4 linked regions of the Callithrix jacchus genome follow. Each later gene encodes a partner of the first gene's protein in a complex. Links are inferred from orthologs where the notes say so. Each region holds a gene or a part of one and is shown on either strand. Other genes may lie near its edges.

Region 1 (4,063 bases):
CTCGAACAAAAATAAGAACATGTCAAGCCGATGGGGAAACTGTCTCCGAGTCGCTACTCCCTACCATCATGGCGCCGCCTAGAACCCGCTTGTCATGCCTGTTACACATGCAAGATTTTTTGCATCTTGGTTCTGAAACCGCAAGCATGCTTCGTCTCCCACTCCCAGCTTCCCACGAAAGGGGTTTTTATTTTCCATTGTTTCCCTACGCGATGCAATTACTTCGGCTACTCTGTCAAGTTGAAAAATAATCATTTTTGTTTACTGTACGGCAACCCCTAATTAGGAGCTGTGTGTGCACGAAGGTGTCACAGCAAAGCGACATGGAATTTTCGCTAAACGGTCTTAACGAACTCCTCCGTCCTGAACTGACAGGCCAACGGAAGCAGGAGGCCCCGAGGGCGCACACCTCTTTGCGGCCAGCCACCCCCTCCCCAAGCAAAGCTGCCTGTGGGCTCACCAGGAACTGCCGGGTGAATAGGGCAAGAAGCGAGCCTGCGAGTGGGAAGGAGGGGCGAGGCTCCTTATTGAGAAAGTGTGGAAGGGAAGGAATATCCCATTTTGTTTTAATTTTCAACCATCACTCAAATCCACCCCCAGTTAATTAGGAGGGGAAACTGATAGCTAAGGCAGAAGGGGGCGGCGGAAAGTGGGGCCTGAAATCCGCATTGTGAGTAGATTGCATGGAACATGGCCTATGCAGAGTGTAAATAAATACACTGATAAAGGCCACGGAGCGAAGGAAAACTGCGGGTATCAGGAGAGCAATGCTGGGAGGGTGGGGGAGGAGAGGAGCTGGGGGCAGCAAGGGGCGGACATTCAGCCTCACAGGCAGCTTCCCTCCCCCTTCCACCTCTACCTTGGATAAAACTGTGCCAGTCACTACCGCTTGGAAACCCACTCCTTCCCCTAGCACACGACCCCTCCCCTAATCCCCTCTTTTTTGGGGGGGGGCGAGGAGACGTAGAAAACACAGCCTCCAATTCAGCACCAAACGCATGAACAGCAGACACCTGATCCTCCACCCCAGTCTAGGGCTGGGTCCCCTCCATGTTAGCCAAGTTCAAAATCACTGCCCCAGGAGAAGAGCAGGGGGAAGCGGGATTACGGACCTTCGGGGATAGGGAGGTATGGAGGGAAGAGGAGAGAGAAATAGAGACAGAATGAAACAGAGACACAGAAATGGAGGCAGTGAGACACAAAATATTCCACAAGCAAGAGTAATGATCATATTCATGCCAATAGTGTGATGTTCTGATCAATATGGCGGACGCTGTCATTCATACAACTACAGGCGCTCCCCTTCCCCCTCCCAAAAAACACCCACCCGGTAGTTGGGGTGGAGGACCAAGAACCAACGTAGGGAGTGGGGGAGGGGAGTCAAATATAGGGGTGTGTGTGTGTGTGTGCGTGTGTGTGCACGAATTAAAAAACAGGCCTGGAGAGCAATGTGGAGTAAGCAAGGTAATAAAAACGATTTTAAAAATTATTCTTAATAAAAGTACAAATCCCAGTGCCACAGGGACTTACTTCATCTGCTTCACAATGGTGCTTTTTCCTGATTCTCCAGCCCCTGTTGGGACACAGACAGTGGGGAAAAACTGGTGAGTGTCAGCTTAAAGGAACGGGGGGGGGGGGGCTAAGGCATGCGAGGGGGTGGGCGATCCTGGGCACATGGTGGTGCCAACTTAGGGACCAGGTCTACCGGCTGCGGGTGGGGTGGAGGAGCTGGCGGCAGGGGTGCGGAGTGGCCGGGGTCGGGGGATGGGGGTGGTAGCGGCGGTTCTTACCCAGTAGGAGTAATTTCACATCTTTGGCGGCGCTGATGCCATCCTCTTTGAGGTTTTTCTCAATCGCCTTGCTCCGCTCGAGGGCGGCTCTCTCCTCTGCGCTCAGAGTACATCCCATGGTGGCCCCTTCCCTGCCACAGCCCGCACAACTCCGCTGGCACGGCTCCCCGGCTCGGCGCGCCCCCCACCCCCCCAGAGAGCAGAGCCTGGGCTCAAGGGGGGAAAATCACGATATCCTCTCCTGGGCTGGAAACAAAAATGTCGCGTAACCAGAACCCCCCAAAAAGACAGCCGCTAACAAGATTCCAGTAGCGGAGACTCGCGGCAGCTGGTGGGGATCTGGGGGTGTCGAGTCGAGGATGGCCGGAGTCAGGGGCTCCGGAGCCGAGGGAGGAGGCGCCCGCGGGCCGAGGAGGCGCGGGCTGCAGGCACTGAGGCTTGTGCACGACCCAAAATAAATAAAATAATAGTCGAGGCTGGAGCCGCAGCCGGAGCCGACGGAGGGTGGGGTGGGGGGCAGGGTGGGTCCTGCTGCCGCGGCTGCTGGAGGAGGAGGCGGTGGCGGCGGCGGAGGAGGAGGTGGCGGAGGCGGCGGCGGCGGCGCGGGATGTGGAGGGAGTGAGTTAGGGGGTGCTGCTAGTGCATGTGCATCGCCGCTCTTCAGCCGTCGGTGCGTCCGCGGCGCCTTCGCCGACCCCCGCGCGCTGGGCAGGGCTGGGCAGGGGGCCGGACCGGGGGGCAGGTCTCTAGCGGGAGGCGGCGTTGCGGTCTCCCAGAGCTCTCATCGCTCGGTGAGCCTACCGGAGAGAGGGAGAGCGCCAGGGAGCCGCGGCCAGCCGGGTGCTCGAGGGAGAGGGAGAGAGAGAGAGAGGCAGGGAGGGAGGGGAAAAAAAAAAAAATGGTAGAGCGAAGGAGCGCGCCCGCGCCAGGGCCCGGGTTGGGGGAGGAGGCGAGCGCAGAGCGCGAGTGAGCCAGCGACTCTGCGCACCCGGCTCCGCGGGCCGCCGGCTGACGTCAGCAGGGCCGCGCGCCGAGCCCCCGGGACTGGGAGAACGCGGGGCGGGGGAGGCGCGCGCCGGGGGTCCGCGTCAGCCGGCGGAGGCGCGCACGCGCGTTCGCGGAGCATCCTCCCCCCTCCCCCAAGCGCCCTCCGGGCCCGCGGCTCCCCGGGGGTGGGCGCGTGCGAGGCTGGCGGGGGCGGGGCGTGGGGCCGGGCGCGCGCCGGGGCGCCCTACCCCGCCCCTGCCCCCGCCCCACGCGGCGGCGGCGCGGACCTCCTTGTCAATGGGAGTGCTGGGCCGGGCAGGCAGCGCGGCAGTCAGGTGGGCCCCCCAGCTCGCGGCCAGCGCGGCCTCTGTCCCTCTCCCGCAGGCTCTCCATCTTGTCTCCCGCAGCCCGCCTTCTCCGTGGCTCTCCAGCTGCTGGGGCCGCAGAGCCGAGGTCAGGTTACCTCAGGAGACGCGATGTGGTAGTGGGTTGCAATAAAACCTCGCGCACCAGAATTCGCCTCTGGGGCGTGAGGACAGATTCGGACTTTTCGAGTCCTTAGTCCACATTTATAGAGCACCTACTATGTGAGAGCCAAGGCTGTAAGGAGAGGAATGCAGCGGGCCGAGAAAAGCCTGGGCCTGTTCTCCGGGAGCCGCTGCCTCCAGGGCCGTCGGCGACCCTGCTCGGAGATCCCAGCCGCCGCTCTCCGTGCAAGAGGGGTGCCCACCCTCGGAGGCGTGAGGGCCCGGAGCGGAGGGACAGGGCTTCAAGCGACCGGGAGCTTGCAGCAAACCCCTGATCCCTGAGCAGTTTTATTTAAAAAGCTTTTGCAGATGTTGGACGGTTTAGTCTGGTGGAGGCCTCTTTGCACTGAATTCTTCTGTTTTCCCCCTTCCAAACACACAAAATGAATTTTGAATAGATTCTGGATGAGAGATTTTCTTCCTTTTTTCATCTTCTGAAACATTTCCCCCTCATTTCTATGCCGATAGAAAGACCCAGAAACCCGGGTCAGTTACTCGGTGTACAGCTAGTCAAATACTGAGGAAACCAGTTGATATTTGCCAAAGATTGGGCATATTCTGGGTGGTCTCAGATTTTGAAGAAATGAATTTTTTACTGCACAAAATAATTTTACAATTAGTTCCATCAGACAGCCCCAGGGGCTCTCCTAGGGAAAGGGGCCAATAGGCAAGGTTGCATGGGGATAAGAGAGGCAAGCGGCCAGTGGAAAACGTTGTTTTTTTTTTTTCCCCTAACAGTTGGGCATTTCTGTGGCTCTG
Region 2 (4,026 bases), on another chromosome or scaffold:
GATCACAGCTATTGCTAATGAGAGCTGGGCGGAGCACCTCTGAGCCAGGCTCTGGGCTAGGCTGCTTTCCCCTTTGAGTCAGCTCTCCTTGTGCCCCATGCCTGGGGCCTCCAGGAAAGGAGGGAGAGACCACGGGGTGATGGGCTCAAGAGGACCCCAAACCCATGCTCTTTGCACCTGTCTCTTGGCCTTTCTAGGCTAGAATGAAACAGTTGCCCTCAGTTCTGCAGAGGACCTGATAAAGCCCTGGGAAGGTGAGCTGCCAAGGAGAAGATGAGAAGGGGAAGGAGTGACTTCAGCAGCGGCTCCCTGGGCTGCAGAGCACGGATGCAGGAGCCCAGTGAGGGTAGGGTCCCTGACTCAGGTGGCCCTTCCCGTGAAGGGAAACATGGAGTCAGGATCTGCCACCTGCCTTCCTGGGGCCTGTGTGTTATCCACGCTTGCATTCACGCATGTGTGAGGAATGTTGCCCAGGGCCTGTATGTGTATGCATGCTTACACTCATGCATGTGTGAGGGATGTCGCCTGGGGCCCCTGTGCACTCACACATGTGAGGGATGTCATCTGCCTTTCCAGTGCCTGTGTGTGTATGCACACTTGTACTCTCGCATCTATGAGGGATGTCACCTGCCTTCCTGGTGCCTGTGTGTGTATGCACACTTGTACTCGCGCATGCGTGAGGGATGGCACCCATAGCCTCTGGCCCCAGATCCTCCCTTAACTCTGGAAACATCTATGTCCAGATTCCCTGCCTCTTGCCTGGGCCAGGACAGTCTGGCTGGCAGCCATGGCCCCAAGTGGGCAGCTGGCCATTGAGCGGCCCCTATGTCAGCAGCAAGGCCAGTGGGACCAAGCCCACTTCTGCTAAGAACTCAGAAGTGACCGTTCCCACTCCGGTGCCTCCCATGGGCGTCCAGACCAGCCCTGCAGGAGTGAGCAGGGGCTCCAAGGCCCAGGACTCACGGCTCGGGTGACTGACAGGAAGCGGTCGTAGCTGATGAGCACGATGTTGAAGGCAGAGGAGGTGCACAGCAGGTAGTCCACCACCAGCCACAGCTTGCAAAGGCCCCGGCCAAAGGTCCATCGGCCCGTCAGCACATAGGGCACATACAGCGGGATGCAGAAGGCACCTGTGGGGAGCAGGGCCACAGTGGGACCATGCCGCCAGGGGCCAGAGGACAGACCGACCTCAGCACAGACACTGGCAGGACGTGGGGTCACATAGTGGCTGCCTTTCTGGGACCAGCCACCCTCATCTTACCACCCCCTCCAGCTGGTCTCAGCCACACACTCTGCCCTGCCACCAGCCTTCACCCCAAATAGCTCCCAGTACCACTGGTGTCCCCTGGACCTGGAGGCAAGAGGGAAGATCAAGGCATGGGGACCTCTGGCCACCACAAGATTGGGAGAGCCTGGAGTCAGGACTCCCTGGACTTCTGTCCCTCCCTCCCAGTCCTCAGAGGAGGAAAGAAGATAATTTCCCTCTCCCCTCCTTCGAGGGACTCCAGCCCCTACCCTCCCTCTCGGCTTAGACAACGAGAAAACCTTTCTCCTGGCTGACAGAGGGCACTTGCTTGCAGCCGCCAGCCGCTACTACTGCCAAGCCCGGCTTGGAGCGTCTGGGAGACGCACCTCACAGCCCCAACAGGTGTCTGGCGCTCCAGCCCCCTCCGCGTGCCCCGCCCCGCAGCCGGCAGCAGAGTCTGGACACGTGAGAGCACGCTCCTCCGAGCGTCTCCCCCAACCCCCACCTTCCGCACGTCCCCTCCCCCAACACAACTCTAAAAATCTCCCTTCCATGTCCCCTCCCCCAGACCTTCCCTAAACCGCCCCCCTGAGCCCTCCTCACGTCCTAAGTCCGCAGCGGCCTTTGTTTGGCTACGGCGCAGGGGCCAGCGCTGCACCCGCTGCCTTTGCGTCTTGCACCTCTCAGAGCCCGTGTCCCTTCCCGGCGACACCCCTCCCCAGCCCCTGTCCCGTGTTCTGAGTGGCAAGGAGCTTTGTCCGTGACCCCCACTCCATGGGCTCCGGACGCCCCCGGCCCACGCCGGGCCCCCTGGTGGGGCGTGTGCCCGCGGGAGCCACCCGGGTCCGCGCTCCAGTCCCCACCGGCCGGCCACACTGGGTCCCACGGCGGCAGGGGGCTAGGGATTTACCCACGAGGAAGTCGGAGATGGCGAGGTTGAGCAGGAAGAAGTTGTTCTGGGTGCGGAGGCTCGAGTCGGCCACGAAGGCGAGCATGACCAGCGCGTTGCCCAGCACCGTGGCCACGATGAGCAGCGCCATGAGCGCGGCCAGCACCGCGGTCCAGGCTGCCGAGAAGCCGCGCGCCCCGCCCGCCGCCGCCGCCTCGCCAGCCAGAGCCCCCGAAGCGTTCAGCGGCCCGTCGGGCGGCGCGCGCTCCATGGCCCCGCAGGCTCACGCGGCTCCGGGACGCGCGGCAGGGCGCCGGCTGAGAGCTGGGCGGCCGGGAGGGGCCCCGGCCAGGGAGCCTCGTCTTTGTGGGCCCTCGGCCGTGTCGGGTTCCCCGGGGGGCGCCCAGCGCATGGTCCGCGGGGCCGGGGCCTGGGCCAGGGCGGGCGGTGGCTAGGGGGCCGGAGACGGATCCAAGCCCAGCGGCGCCGGGCCGGCGGCGCGGCTGCTGCAGCGGGAGAGGAAGCGGAGCAGGAGCCGCTGCCAGCACGACCGTGCACCCCGAGCGCAACGCGCAGCCGAGTGCGCCCCGCGCCCAGCCCACCGCCCCCCGCGCCCCGCGCAGGGCCCCCGCCATTGGCTGCCGCCCTCGCCCCGCCCCCTCCCCCGCCCCGCCCGGCGCCGGCAGCACCACGGACAGCGCCGCGTGCCCGCCGGGCAGGCTGGAACCCAGCCCCTGCGCTCACCGCAGCTGGCTGGACGCCCGGCCGGGGCTTGGCCGGGTCTGGGGGCTCGCCTGTGGTCAGTCAGCTCGCTCACTCGGAGCCGGGGTCTGGGTTGCTCGGCCTTTCCCCTGCCCTCGGCCCTGGTGACCCCTGCCCGGTCATCATGGGGAGCCCTGGCGCTGGTGGGGACCTGGGCTGGGGGTGGGGGAAACGCCTGCACCCGCGCTCCGGGGAACTTGCCCTGCGGGGCATTTCCTCGGTTCAGGTTTTTAGAATGTGGGTCTCCGGGGAAGGAACGTCTGGTGAAGAAAGGTCGGGGAGGGGCCTTGGAAAGCCGGTGCCCAGACCAGGGGTCTGCTCCACCTCCCCTTTGCACGGACACCGGGTGCCAGCCTCCCTGTGGAAAGGACCCAGTGCAGGGTCCGGGGTGACCTGCAAGGTGCAGGCAGATGTGGAGTTACATAAGGGAAGATGAGGCGCTGGGCGGACCCAGCCGGAGGGGAGCGCGTCCAGCCTTGGCTCCGGCGGCCTCAGGCTGAGGAAGCAGGAAGCCCCTTGGAGCACAGCCATGGACCCCGGTGGACAGAGGGGCAGTCGCTGCTATAGCGGACAGACGAGGTCACTGCGCTCAGGTCGCGGGTGGTGGCTGTGTTAGCGCCTGTGGGAGGGGACGGGGGAGGAGAGGATAGGTGGCCGGAGGAAGCGCCCCGGCCACCAGACACATGCGCTCAGATAGACGGGGTCAAGGACAGATTCCGCCTGAAACACTCAGGGCAGACAGACATGCCCACACTTAGATACACAGACACCCACAGGCCAGGGAAGCTGCCGCCAGTGCCAGGCTGAGCACCCACCAACAGCGAGACACACATCAGACAGCAGGCAGGGAGGGAGCCGCACCTCAGGAGAGGGAAAGCGGCAACTCCGCTCTGTCACCAGCCGCAGGCATCCACGGCACCTCAAAGAGGGTAGAATGCGAGTGCCTGGTGGGGGGCCGCAGAGGGGACCTGGCTGCTGACACCCACCATCACTCCCTCCTGTATAGCAGCTCCCCCATCCTGTGGGGACCCACCCCTTTCCCTCGCTCCCAGTGTCACTTCAGAAACTTTGAGGAGAGTGGGGCTGGGATTCCTCTGCGGCCTCCCCAGGGCTGACTGCAGGGAGGAAC
Region 3 (4,257 bases), on another chromosome or scaffold:
GTGAATGTGTGTGTTTCAACTTTTTTCATATTCTGTATGCAATGATGCATTTTACCTTATGTAATAATTATAATGGCTGTCTAATCTATTATTCTAGATTTAAACTTCATGATGGTAAAAAAGAGTCTTATTTATAAATGATTGTTTCACACAGTTTAACACAATGCCTTATGAGACCTTGAGGTTAAAGATTACGTGGACAGGCGGGGCACAGTGGCTCATGCCTGTAATCCCCATTCTGGGGGGCCAAGAGGAGCAGATCGCTTGGGGCCAGGAGTTTGAGACCAGCCTAGTCAACATGGCAGAATTCTGTCTCTACCAAAAATACAAAAATTAGCTGGGTGTGGTGGTGCACACTTGTAATCCCAGCTACTTGGGAAACTGAGGCAGAAGAATGCTTGAACTGGAGAGGCAGAGTTTGCAGTGAGCTGAGATTGCACCATTGCACTCCAGCCTGCATGACAGAGTGAGACTCTGTCTCAAAAAAAATTACTTGAATAGATGGATGCCCATTTTAGGGGTTGACTTTTTTTCTTTTGCAATTAAATCTAAAATTTTAATTTATATGCATTTAATCCTTACTTGGGCCTCTTCCGGAATTCCCATGCTGTCCCTTTTTACTTTCTTTTTGTTAAATTCCTAAGTTTTACTGGATATAATAACAATTTACATTTATTTTTACGAGGCTCAAAATATTTTCGTGGCTTGAAAGTAGCTCTGCTGAGTCAACCAAATATTTTCATAGGGCCTTATGTGATTAGCAGAAGTTAAAATAGCAAGTCAACAAAATAAAAAAGAAGAAATGATTCCTATTCCCCTTTTTATGGCCTTGTCTACTCAGATATTTAAATCCTATCAAGGTAACTTCCTAAAATATTGAGAGAAGGATAGAGTCCTAGGATGCTGGGACTGAAAGAAAACTTTGAAATCATCTCTCCTCTCTACATTTTTTTCTGGTCATTGTTTGTTCGTTTGTAGAGACAGAGGCTTGCTATGTTGTCCAAGCTGCTCTCAAACTCCTGGTCTCCAGCAATCCTCCCTCCTTGGCCTCAGAGTGTGCTGGGATTACCGATATGAGCCACCGCACCCAATCTACATCGTCTCAGCTTTTGTTTCTCAAGTTTGACAGTGAAACTTAGTAAATTAGATTCCTTTCATATAATCATTATTAGGGAGGATCTTGGATTTCAGGTCCAGTGACTGTTAGGCCAATGCTCTTTTTACTACCAAAATATATATATATATATAAAGATATATGGTAGGCTGAGTGCAGTGGCTCACGCCTGTTATACTAGCACTTTGGGAGGCCGAGGCCGGCGGATCACGAGGTCAGGAGATCAAGACCATCCTGGCTAACACGGTGATAGCCTGTCTCTACTAAAAATACAAAAAATTAGTGGAGCATGGCTCATACCTGTAGTCCCAGCTACCTGGGAGGCTGAGGCAGGAGAATCACTTGAACCTGGGAGGCAGAGTTTGCAGTGAGCCAAGATTGCACCGCTACACTCCAGCCTGGGCTATAGGGTGAGGCTCCATCTCAAAAAAAAAAAAAGGAAGATTATGGCATTGCTAATAAAGGGGAAGCAGCCAAGAACTGCACGAATTGAAGTAGCAGGAACTACAAACGGTGAAATTTCAATAAAAATAAATGGAGTTATCTGGCATGAGCTATATATTAAATATCGCATATTATTTATTTTGAAATGGAAGTATGTATGAATCAGTAATTAAAAGTTCTTCAGAACAAGGCTGGGTGCAGTGGCTCATGCCTGTAATCCCAGCACTTTGGGAGGCCAAGGTGGGCAGATCACCTGAGGTCAGGAGTTCAAGACCAGCCTGGCCAACGTGGTGGAACGCTATTTCTACTAAAAATACAAAAAAAAATTTAACTGGGTGTGGTAGCACATACCTGTAATCACAGCTACTCAGGAGGCTGAGGCAGGAGAATCACTTCAACCTGGGAGTTGGAGGTTGCAGTGAGCCAAGGCTGTGCCACTGTACTCCAGCCTGGGCAACAGAGTGAGACTCTGTCACAAAAAAGAGAAAAAAAGTCTTTCAGAACAAGATTACTTTTTACATTTCTTTAAGTTAATTTGGCTAAAAAGTACCATACCTTTATGTTTAAGATTAGTAGAGGATTAAAAAAATTATTACGAAATTGACCAGCAGTAATTTAATGATAATATCCTGAAACTAAAATTCCACTATGATAGGGAAAGAAACGTGGACCACGGAATCAAATTGTAATAATAGAATAACAGAGTCAGTAGCAGTAAGGAATGGGCAAAAGAATAAAAAAAAAAGAAAGAGGAAAATAGAAAGGGAAAAAAAGGGCAATAGGGCAATCAATGATTTGAAAAACAAACTAATGGGGACAGCTAGAATCAAAGTTCAGGGGAAATACACAGCTAATTCAAAGACAGGAAAGAAATGGCATAAAGTTCACTATTAATTGCACTATGAAATATTAAAAGCAAAGACAAAAGCAATGTGGAATATTTAGAAACAGAAAGTTAGACATAGAGATAAGACAAAAGAATTGAAAATTGGAGAAGGAATGGGGAAATAGAAGATAATGACCCTTAAACTCATTACTTATAATGAGCGAAACAGGTTAAGTGCAAGTCATCAGGTGGATTTAGATTTTCTTACCAAAAAGCTGAGACAGTAGCTGAAGGCTTCAGCACCTGGATGTTCCCATGAGTCCTGTCTGGTCCCCAAACTTAGCCACAATGAAGTCATGAAGTATGACAAAATTTGCTGAGCATTCTCTCCTTCTTTCCTTCTCTGTTTCTGGCAACAAATTAAGCCTTATGCTCTAGACCACTATCTGACTTCACAGGAAGAGTTTCAAAGTGAGTCATTTCTAAATGACTTAGAAAGGAAAAGCAGAAAAACAGAAGTAGGAGGTTATAATTCTGGGACATTTTCCGCAGCACACAGAGAATGGTTAGAGAGAGGATAATTCTATACACAGGCTTCTAACTTTGTAGGTTTTGTTTAGAAATGTAAAAAAAAAAAAAAAATGACTCTATGAGATGTGACGGTTGGGGTGGGGAGTGGGTGGAGAGAAATGACCCGAACAAAACCCATTTAATTAATCTCAAGTAACAGCTCCTAAATGCTTGATATATGTGAAAAATGGTGCCATGCCAAAATCAGGATGAACTAAGCTGTATTCTAATCTCCAAAGATTCACAGTCGAGTGGGAATATGCACCCAAATACATACACACAAAACTGTAATACAACCCAGACTATAATAATAGAAGTAACAATAGAAGTAAAATAGTATAACACTCTGGGCAGGGGTATTTATAACCCAGGGCAATCTAGGAAAGTCTTAAGATAGAAATAAGATGTGGGCAAGTCCTTAAGTACCCGCAAGACTTCTAGAGACAGAAAAAGGTGGCTGAGTGTGGTGGTTCACGCCTGTAATCCTAGCATTTTGGGAGGCCGAGGTAGATCACTTGAGGCCGGTAGTTCAAGAACAGCCTGGTCAACCTGGTGAAGGCCTGTCTCTACTAAAAATACCAAAAATTTGCTGGGCATGATGGTGGATGCTTGTAGTCCCAGCTACTTAGGAGGCTGAGATGGGAGAATCACTTCAACCCAGGAGACAGTGTTGTAGTGAGCTGAGATGGCACCACTGCACTTCAGCCTGGGTGGCCGAGTGAGACTCCATCTCAGAAAAAAAAAAAAAAAAAAAAGGAAAAAAAAGAAAACGGTGAAAACTTGCTTAGCCTGTAAGAGGAGCCTACTCAAAGGCAGGTAGATGGGAGAGGGCAGATGGGTGTTCTTAGTGGACACTGAAGAACAGGCTGGAGTCCAGGTGGTGTTTCATCAGAAAGGAGTACAAAGGACTGAAGATGATTCTTGCTTAATGAATATGCTGTAAATCATTTTTTAAAAATTGTACTTTGGGCTCTGGGGTACATGTGCATGTCTTGCATCCTGCAGGATTGTTGCACAGGTCCATACACGCCATGGTAGTTTGCTGTCTCCATCCCCCACCCCGTCACCTACATCAGGTATTCCTCCCAGTGTTCTCCCTCCTCATCCTCCCCGCCCCCCCAACTGTCCCTCCCCTCCCCTTCACCTCTCCACCTACTCCAGTGAGTGTTGTTCCCTTCCCTGTGACCAAGCGTTCTCACTCTTTGTCACCTGACTATGAGTGAAAATATGCAGTGTTTGGTTTTCTATTCTTGTGTCAGTTTGCTGAGAATGATGGTTTCTAGATTCATCCATGTCTCTACAA
Region 4 (4,200 bases), on another chromosome or scaffold:
ACTTAGAAAAAAATCACAGACCACAGACCTGCAAGCCTCAGGCAGGTCAGCCTGGGGACTGAGCCAGGTTATGTAAGGTCCTCGTGCTAACCTTCTCTCTCCAGTTGGTGAGTGTTTTGAGCCTTTAAAAATGGACGGGTTTATAAAGGTGGGTATGGACTGAAGCCAAAAATCCTGCCAACCCATCTTGCCCCATCATGAGTCACAGGGTGAAGACCCAGGAGTGGCATTGAGTCTGGCTTTCCTAGTCTCTGGCCACAGAAGCCCACTCACCCCTGTGTCAAGTAAGGCCCTTCTATTTCTACACCTTCCTCCCCACTAGCCCAGACTCTCAGAGGGGAAGGAGCAGGCAGGGTGGTGCAGATTCATATGCATGGCGGGGCTCTAACCTCTTTAGGGGCCTCGCTGCATATGAACTCCTCGAAGATCCGGTGTGCCCTGGAGGCCAGTTTGGTAGCTGATCGGATCTTCTTGAACTCCTCACAGGCTAGCCAGAACTCCAGGTTCTCTTCGCTGAACTCGGTCTTCAGGAAAGCGTGGAAAGCAGCCACTCCATCTGGGTTGTGGGAGAAAGGAGGAAACAGGTCAGACAAGGGACAGAAGGCAACTAAAGAAAGGACAGCAATTTCACTTAATGGCCCTATTTTTAAACATAATTTTCTTGAACAAAGGACCTGCCTTTGTACGTTGAATAGAGGCTGGCACACTAGGGGTCATTATTATTATTATTACTACTACTATTATTCCGCCCAAGCTTTCAGCAGTCCTGGGCCTGGCTCCAAAGCACGTGAGTACCCACGTGCCACCCACAGACAGACACAAAAGGCTCCTACTCACTTTTACTGCTCAGCAACAGGTCGAACGACTCTCTCCACCCCAGCACATCTTCTGAGAAGTTTCTACTAAAAGAAAAAGGAAAAAAAAGAAAGTAAGAAAAAAAATCAACAAAGTAAAGCATAGCACAAATTCTAGCCAGAACTCTGATGGAAAGTTGAGTAAAATTCACACAAAGACTTGCTTGGTGATTGTTGAAGCTGACACCTCAAACTCTTAGTTGGACTTAGGGTAAGCACTGTGTTTTCTAGAGAGCAATTCAGCAACCAGAAATCAAAGTTAGGGACTCCTTAGTCCTCAGTCAATATCTCTAAGGCTGTCTCTTCTCTGCCCAAAGTTATTTCGATTCCCCTGACTCTCAAAGATTTGTTTTGTATACCTCCCCAAGGAAACTGGGGCTCATAGAGATGACATCTACACATAACTCCAGAGTTTGGTACTGTTGATAGCCAGTATGAAAGGGTTTCTAGGCAAGGCGCATGCTAGAGTCATTAATAAAAACTTCAAGCAGTCTTGGACACCGTCCTAGCCCCGGACGTATGTGCAATGAACGCCCAGGTGGGAGAGTCTGGTAACTAGACATTCATGCCCTGTGTGCCCTCATCTGTGGATGGACTTGGAGCCCTGGAGCCACCTACCCACTCACCCATGAGCCAAGTAGTCATAACAGACCAGCGACAAGTCCCGCTAAAATCTCTAGAGAGGGGATGCCGAGGTCCACTTAGCATGTCCTGGCTTCTCCTTGCATTTCCCTCCTCGTGACAACTTCCCTCCTCCTTTTCCCCGCTCCCTTCCCACTAGGAACCCTGGGCTGGTCAGCAACACTTACTTCTCTTTGCCGTGTTTACTGCTCCACTCGAATTTGCCAATACTCCCAGTATTGGAGCCCAGATCTGATTTGTGAAGAAAGATCCCCAGACGTGTCTTGAACTCTTTGGCTCTGGAAAACAAATCACAAACGTGAAAGGGTTCTCATTTGCTCAGCCAGTGTGGAGAGGTTTGTGGATCCCAGAAGAGTTCTGGGCGGCCCCACTGAAACTTTAGCCTCAAGAGTTCCTGGGAACTGTTGGTTGTTCCCAGGGCCCAAATGTGCTTCTCTTCACAGCATCATCAACCCCAAAACGACGACAGCACCGTCTGAGCTATGCGGTGGTGGGTCTTACACTTTCTGGGTAATACACACACTGCATATATGGGCTTTATCCTAAAGTCACACTGATCTCTCTCTCTTCATGCCTGTTGATTCAGAAGAGAACTCAGCATTCTTTTCAGAAGTATTTCTGAACTGTGTGGAAACTGATTCCTGCCTTCATCTTTACTTTTTCCTTGCCAGCCAGTAACAATTGGAAGCTGTTGAGTAGCTCTCTGAAACATGGACACACCCTCAACAGTGGGACCCCCCCCCCACAAAAAAAAATCTCCCTGCCTGCTAGGGGCAAAGGGGGCCATGCCCCTAGCTCTGGGCTGAGGAATGAAAACCAAGTGCTTAAGAAATGGGCAGGCTCCATTCTGCCTGGAAATGTCAACGTGGCCTTCCTGCAGCCGGCTCTTCAGCAGGTCACCTGAGCACGACTGCAGTTTGTCAGAGGATGGGGATGGCAGCAAGCAGCAGGCCCTCGCTTCCCTTCCCCCTGCTTTCTCCCTGCTCCTGGAATCTGAGCACGTGGCATCAAGTTCGCCTCTACCTCTCAAGTCTCTAGCGCCCCATACCCGCGCCCACCTAGGTCCCCAGGCCTGCCGCTCCACTCCCTAGAAGTTGGTGGGACTTCCAACAAGCATTTGGACAAGCTCCCCTTACCTCTCCAGGCAGGTGTTGGGGAAGGCGGCCAGGGTGCGGCACATGGCTGCGGGCGCAAGGCAGCACGTAGTGGGCAGGATGGTGGCGGGCTCCAGGAGGGTCCTCGAGCGCGAGAAAGCAAAGGCGCAGTAGCAGGTGCTAGTGTGCTGGGGTTGGGGTTAGCAGCCTGCATGCGCCCAGGCTGCGCTGCCGCTGCGTTTATCCCTTCGGAGGGGCGGGGCGGGGCGGGGCGCTCTGACCAATCGGAGGGCGGGGCGGGGCGCCGAGACGGCGGAGGCTGGGCCAGCAGCCAGACCGTGCCGGACTCAGCTTCGCTGCATCTTGGAGCACGCGGCGCTGCACCCTGCGCCCGCAGGGCGCCGCGTGGAGAAGGAGAAGCGGCAAGAGGATTGGCACGGGGATGAGACGTGCGCACCCAGTTTCCTAGGGAAAAAAACCCGCCGACCTGTAGTAACAGCAGGAAACTCACGCAGCGGTGTCGTGTTGGGAGGGTTTGCATGGGGGTGGTGGGTCCGGGAGGCACGCGGGGCTTTGATCCCAGGCAAGTCTGAGCCTGCTGGGTCCTGAAGGACGGCGCACAGGGTGCACGCTGGGGCAAAACAGCATCCGATTATACCGATAAGTACCATTTACGGGGCTCTTACCCCGATCGATGGACACGGACCTAAGTAAGCTCTTCTTCATCATCATCTCCATTTTATAGTTGAAACAGGTGAGAATCAGAAAGCTAAAGAAACTTTCCCAAGATCACAGTTGGAGATGACAGACAGGGATGGGTTGATGATTTTGTTGAACACCTACTATGTGCCAGGCACATAACCTAAGACTCATATTAAATAACTTGCTCAAAGATGTTCAGTTAGTAGGTGTTGACTCCCAAATTCAAATGTGAATTTATCATTCTTTTTCTGTTGCACCCCCTCCCCTTCCCCGCACGGCCCCCCCCCCAACCCTGCACCCGAAAAGGTTAGAATCCAGTCACAGCTATAACTGGTGGACCATCCTGGGTTTAAGCAGTTGCTACCTTAGTGTCTCCATCTCTGAGATAAAGGTAATAAATGCCCTGCCTCTCTCCTCACCTTCCCATAAAGGCATTACATCCTCCCCCAACACCCCTCAGTTCCCTTTGGGATTGCTATTAAGAGGCTGCATGTGAGGGTAAGAGTACAGGGTCTAGAGTTAGATTTTCAGGTTTCCAGTCACGGCTCTGCCAGTCACTGATGGGAGACTAGGCAAACTGCTTAACCTTTCTGTGCCTCCATGTCCTTGTCTCTAGGAAGAGAACAACTTATTTCATAAGGTGGTTGTGAGAACCAAATAAATTAATTCTTAGTTTGAGTTCCTACGAACTAGACTCTGAGGCAGAGGCTTGCGTGCAGGGGGTTTACTGGGGAGAGCGTTCAGAATTGAGAGCAAGTAAAGGAAGCAGGTTTGGACAGAGGGAGGAGTTGAAGGCCATGCCATTTCAAGAGAGACCCCAGCGGCTTCCAGGGAATGGCCTGAAGCTCAGCTGGCCCTTTGGAACTGTCTACTGAAGCAAGAGGACAGGCCCTGGTGACCCCATAAAG

What was found. The genes of interacting proteins can lie anywhere in the genome.
Region 2: the proteins of GNAO1 (region 1) and HRH3 are in contact, whole or in part, in a cryo-EM structure (PDB 8YN7), measured with the Homo sapiens proteins. The link is inferred for Callithrix jacchus from reciprocal best matches to the Homo sapiens genes GNAO1 and HRH3. Residues at the interface, in NP_066268.1 of Homo sapiens: Ile28, Ala31, Lys32, Asp33, Val34, Lys193, Asn194, Leu195, Asn312, Pro315, Asn316, Lys317, Glu318, Ile319, Tyr320, Phe336, Thr340, Asp341, Ile343, Ile344, Ala345, Asn347, Leu348, Arg349, Gly350, Cys351, Gly352, Leu353, Tyr354; in NP_009163.2 of Homo sapiens: Asn69, Asp131, Arg132, Ser135, Val136, Ala139, Val140, Tyr142, Arg143, Ala144, Gly147, Ile221, Ile225, Arg228, Arg232, Thr345, Phe348, Arg349, Arg352, Val356, Leu360, Cys415, His416, His417.
Region 3: the proteins of GNAO1 (region 1) and C3AR1 are in contact, whole or in part, in a cryo-EM structure (PDB 8I95), measured with the Homo sapiens proteins. The link is inferred for Callithrix jacchus from reciprocal best matches to the Homo sapiens genes GNAO1 and C3AR1. Residues at the interface, in NP_066268.1 of Homo sapiens: Ile28, Ala31, Lys32, Asp33, Val34, Asn194, Leu195, Ser264, Asn316, Glu318, Tyr320, Asp341, Ile342, Ile343, Ile344, Ala345, Asn347, Leu348, Arg349, Gly350, Cys351, Gly352, Leu353, Tyr354; in NP_001313404.1 of Homo sapiens: Asn57, Asp119, Arg120, Val123, Val124, Pro127, Ile128, Gln131, Asn132, Arg134, Asn135, Tyr356, Ile359, Arg362, Gly366, Arg367, Phe368, Ser371, Lys374, Thr375, Val378, Leu438.
Region 4: the proteins of GNAO1 (region 1) and RGS16 are in contact, whole or in part, in a crystal structure (PDB 3C7K), measured with the Mus musculus proteins. The link is inferred for Callithrix jacchus from reciprocal best matches to the Homo sapiens genes GNAO1 and RGS16. Residues at the interface, in NP_034438.1 of Mus musculus: Glu64, Asp65, Gln68, Ser75, Arg86, Thr117, Val180, Lys181, Thr182, Thr183, Gly184, Ile185, Val186, Gln205, Arg206, Ser207, Glu208, Lys210, Lys211, His214, His236, Glu237, Asp238, Glu239; in NP_035397.2 of Mus musculus: Glu85, Phe86, Ser87, Glu89, Asn90, Glu124, Ala125, Pro126, Glu128, Val129, Asn130, Asp132, His133, Glu134, Leu161, Lys164, Asp165, Ser166, Arg169, Lys172.

Annotation. Positions count from the first base shown.
Region 1 is NC_133521.1:14,059,639-14,063,701, reverse strand, and holds the start of GNAO1 (guanine nucleotide-binding protein G(o) subunit alpha), read right to left. Parts: upstream 2,807-4,063; 5' UTR 1,909-2,806; coding exon 1,791-1,908; intron 1,605-1,790; exon of another isoform or gene 1,574-1,604; coding exon 1,531-1,573; exon of another isoform or gene 1,413-1,530; intron 81-1,412; exon of another isoform or gene 1-80. UniProt on the Homo sapiens protein: Guanine nucleotide-binding proteins (G proteins) function as transducers downstream of G protein-coupled receptors (GPCRs) in numerous signaling cascades.
Region 2 is NC_133506.1:57,779,908-57,783,933, forward strand, and holds the start of HRH3 (histamine H3 receptor), read right to left. Parts: upstream 2,807-4,026; 5' UTR 2,771-2,806; coding exon 2,161-2,770; coding exon of another isoform or gene 2,157-2,160; intron 1,131-2,156; coding exon 964-1,130; intron 1-963. UniProt on the Homo sapiens protein: The H3 subclass of histamine receptors could mediate the histamine signals in CNS and peripheral nervous system. Signals through the inhibition of adenylate cyclase and displays high constitutive activity (spontaneous activity in the absence of agonist).
Region 3 is NC_133510.1:22,885,490-22,889,746, forward strand, and holds the start of C3AR1 (C3a anaphylatoxin chemotactic receptor), read right to left. Parts: upstream 2,807-4,257; 5' UTR 2,653-2,806; intron 2,028-2,652; 5' UTR 1,910-2,027; intron 1,537-1,909; 5' UTR 1,415-1,536; intron 1-1,414.
Region 4 is NC_133519.1:40,800,393-40,804,592, forward strand, and holds the start of RGS16 (regulator of G-protein signaling 16), read right to left. Parts: upstream 2,807-4,200; 5' UTR 2,677-2,806; coding exon 2,633-2,676; intron 1,775-2,632; coding exon 1,664-1,774; intron 903-1,663; coding exon 838-902; intron 557-837; coding exon 390-556; intron 1-389. UniProt on the Homo sapiens protein: Regulates G protein-coupled receptor signaling cascades. Inhibits signal transduction by increasing the GTPase activity of G protein alpha subunits, thereby driving them into their inactive GDP-bound form.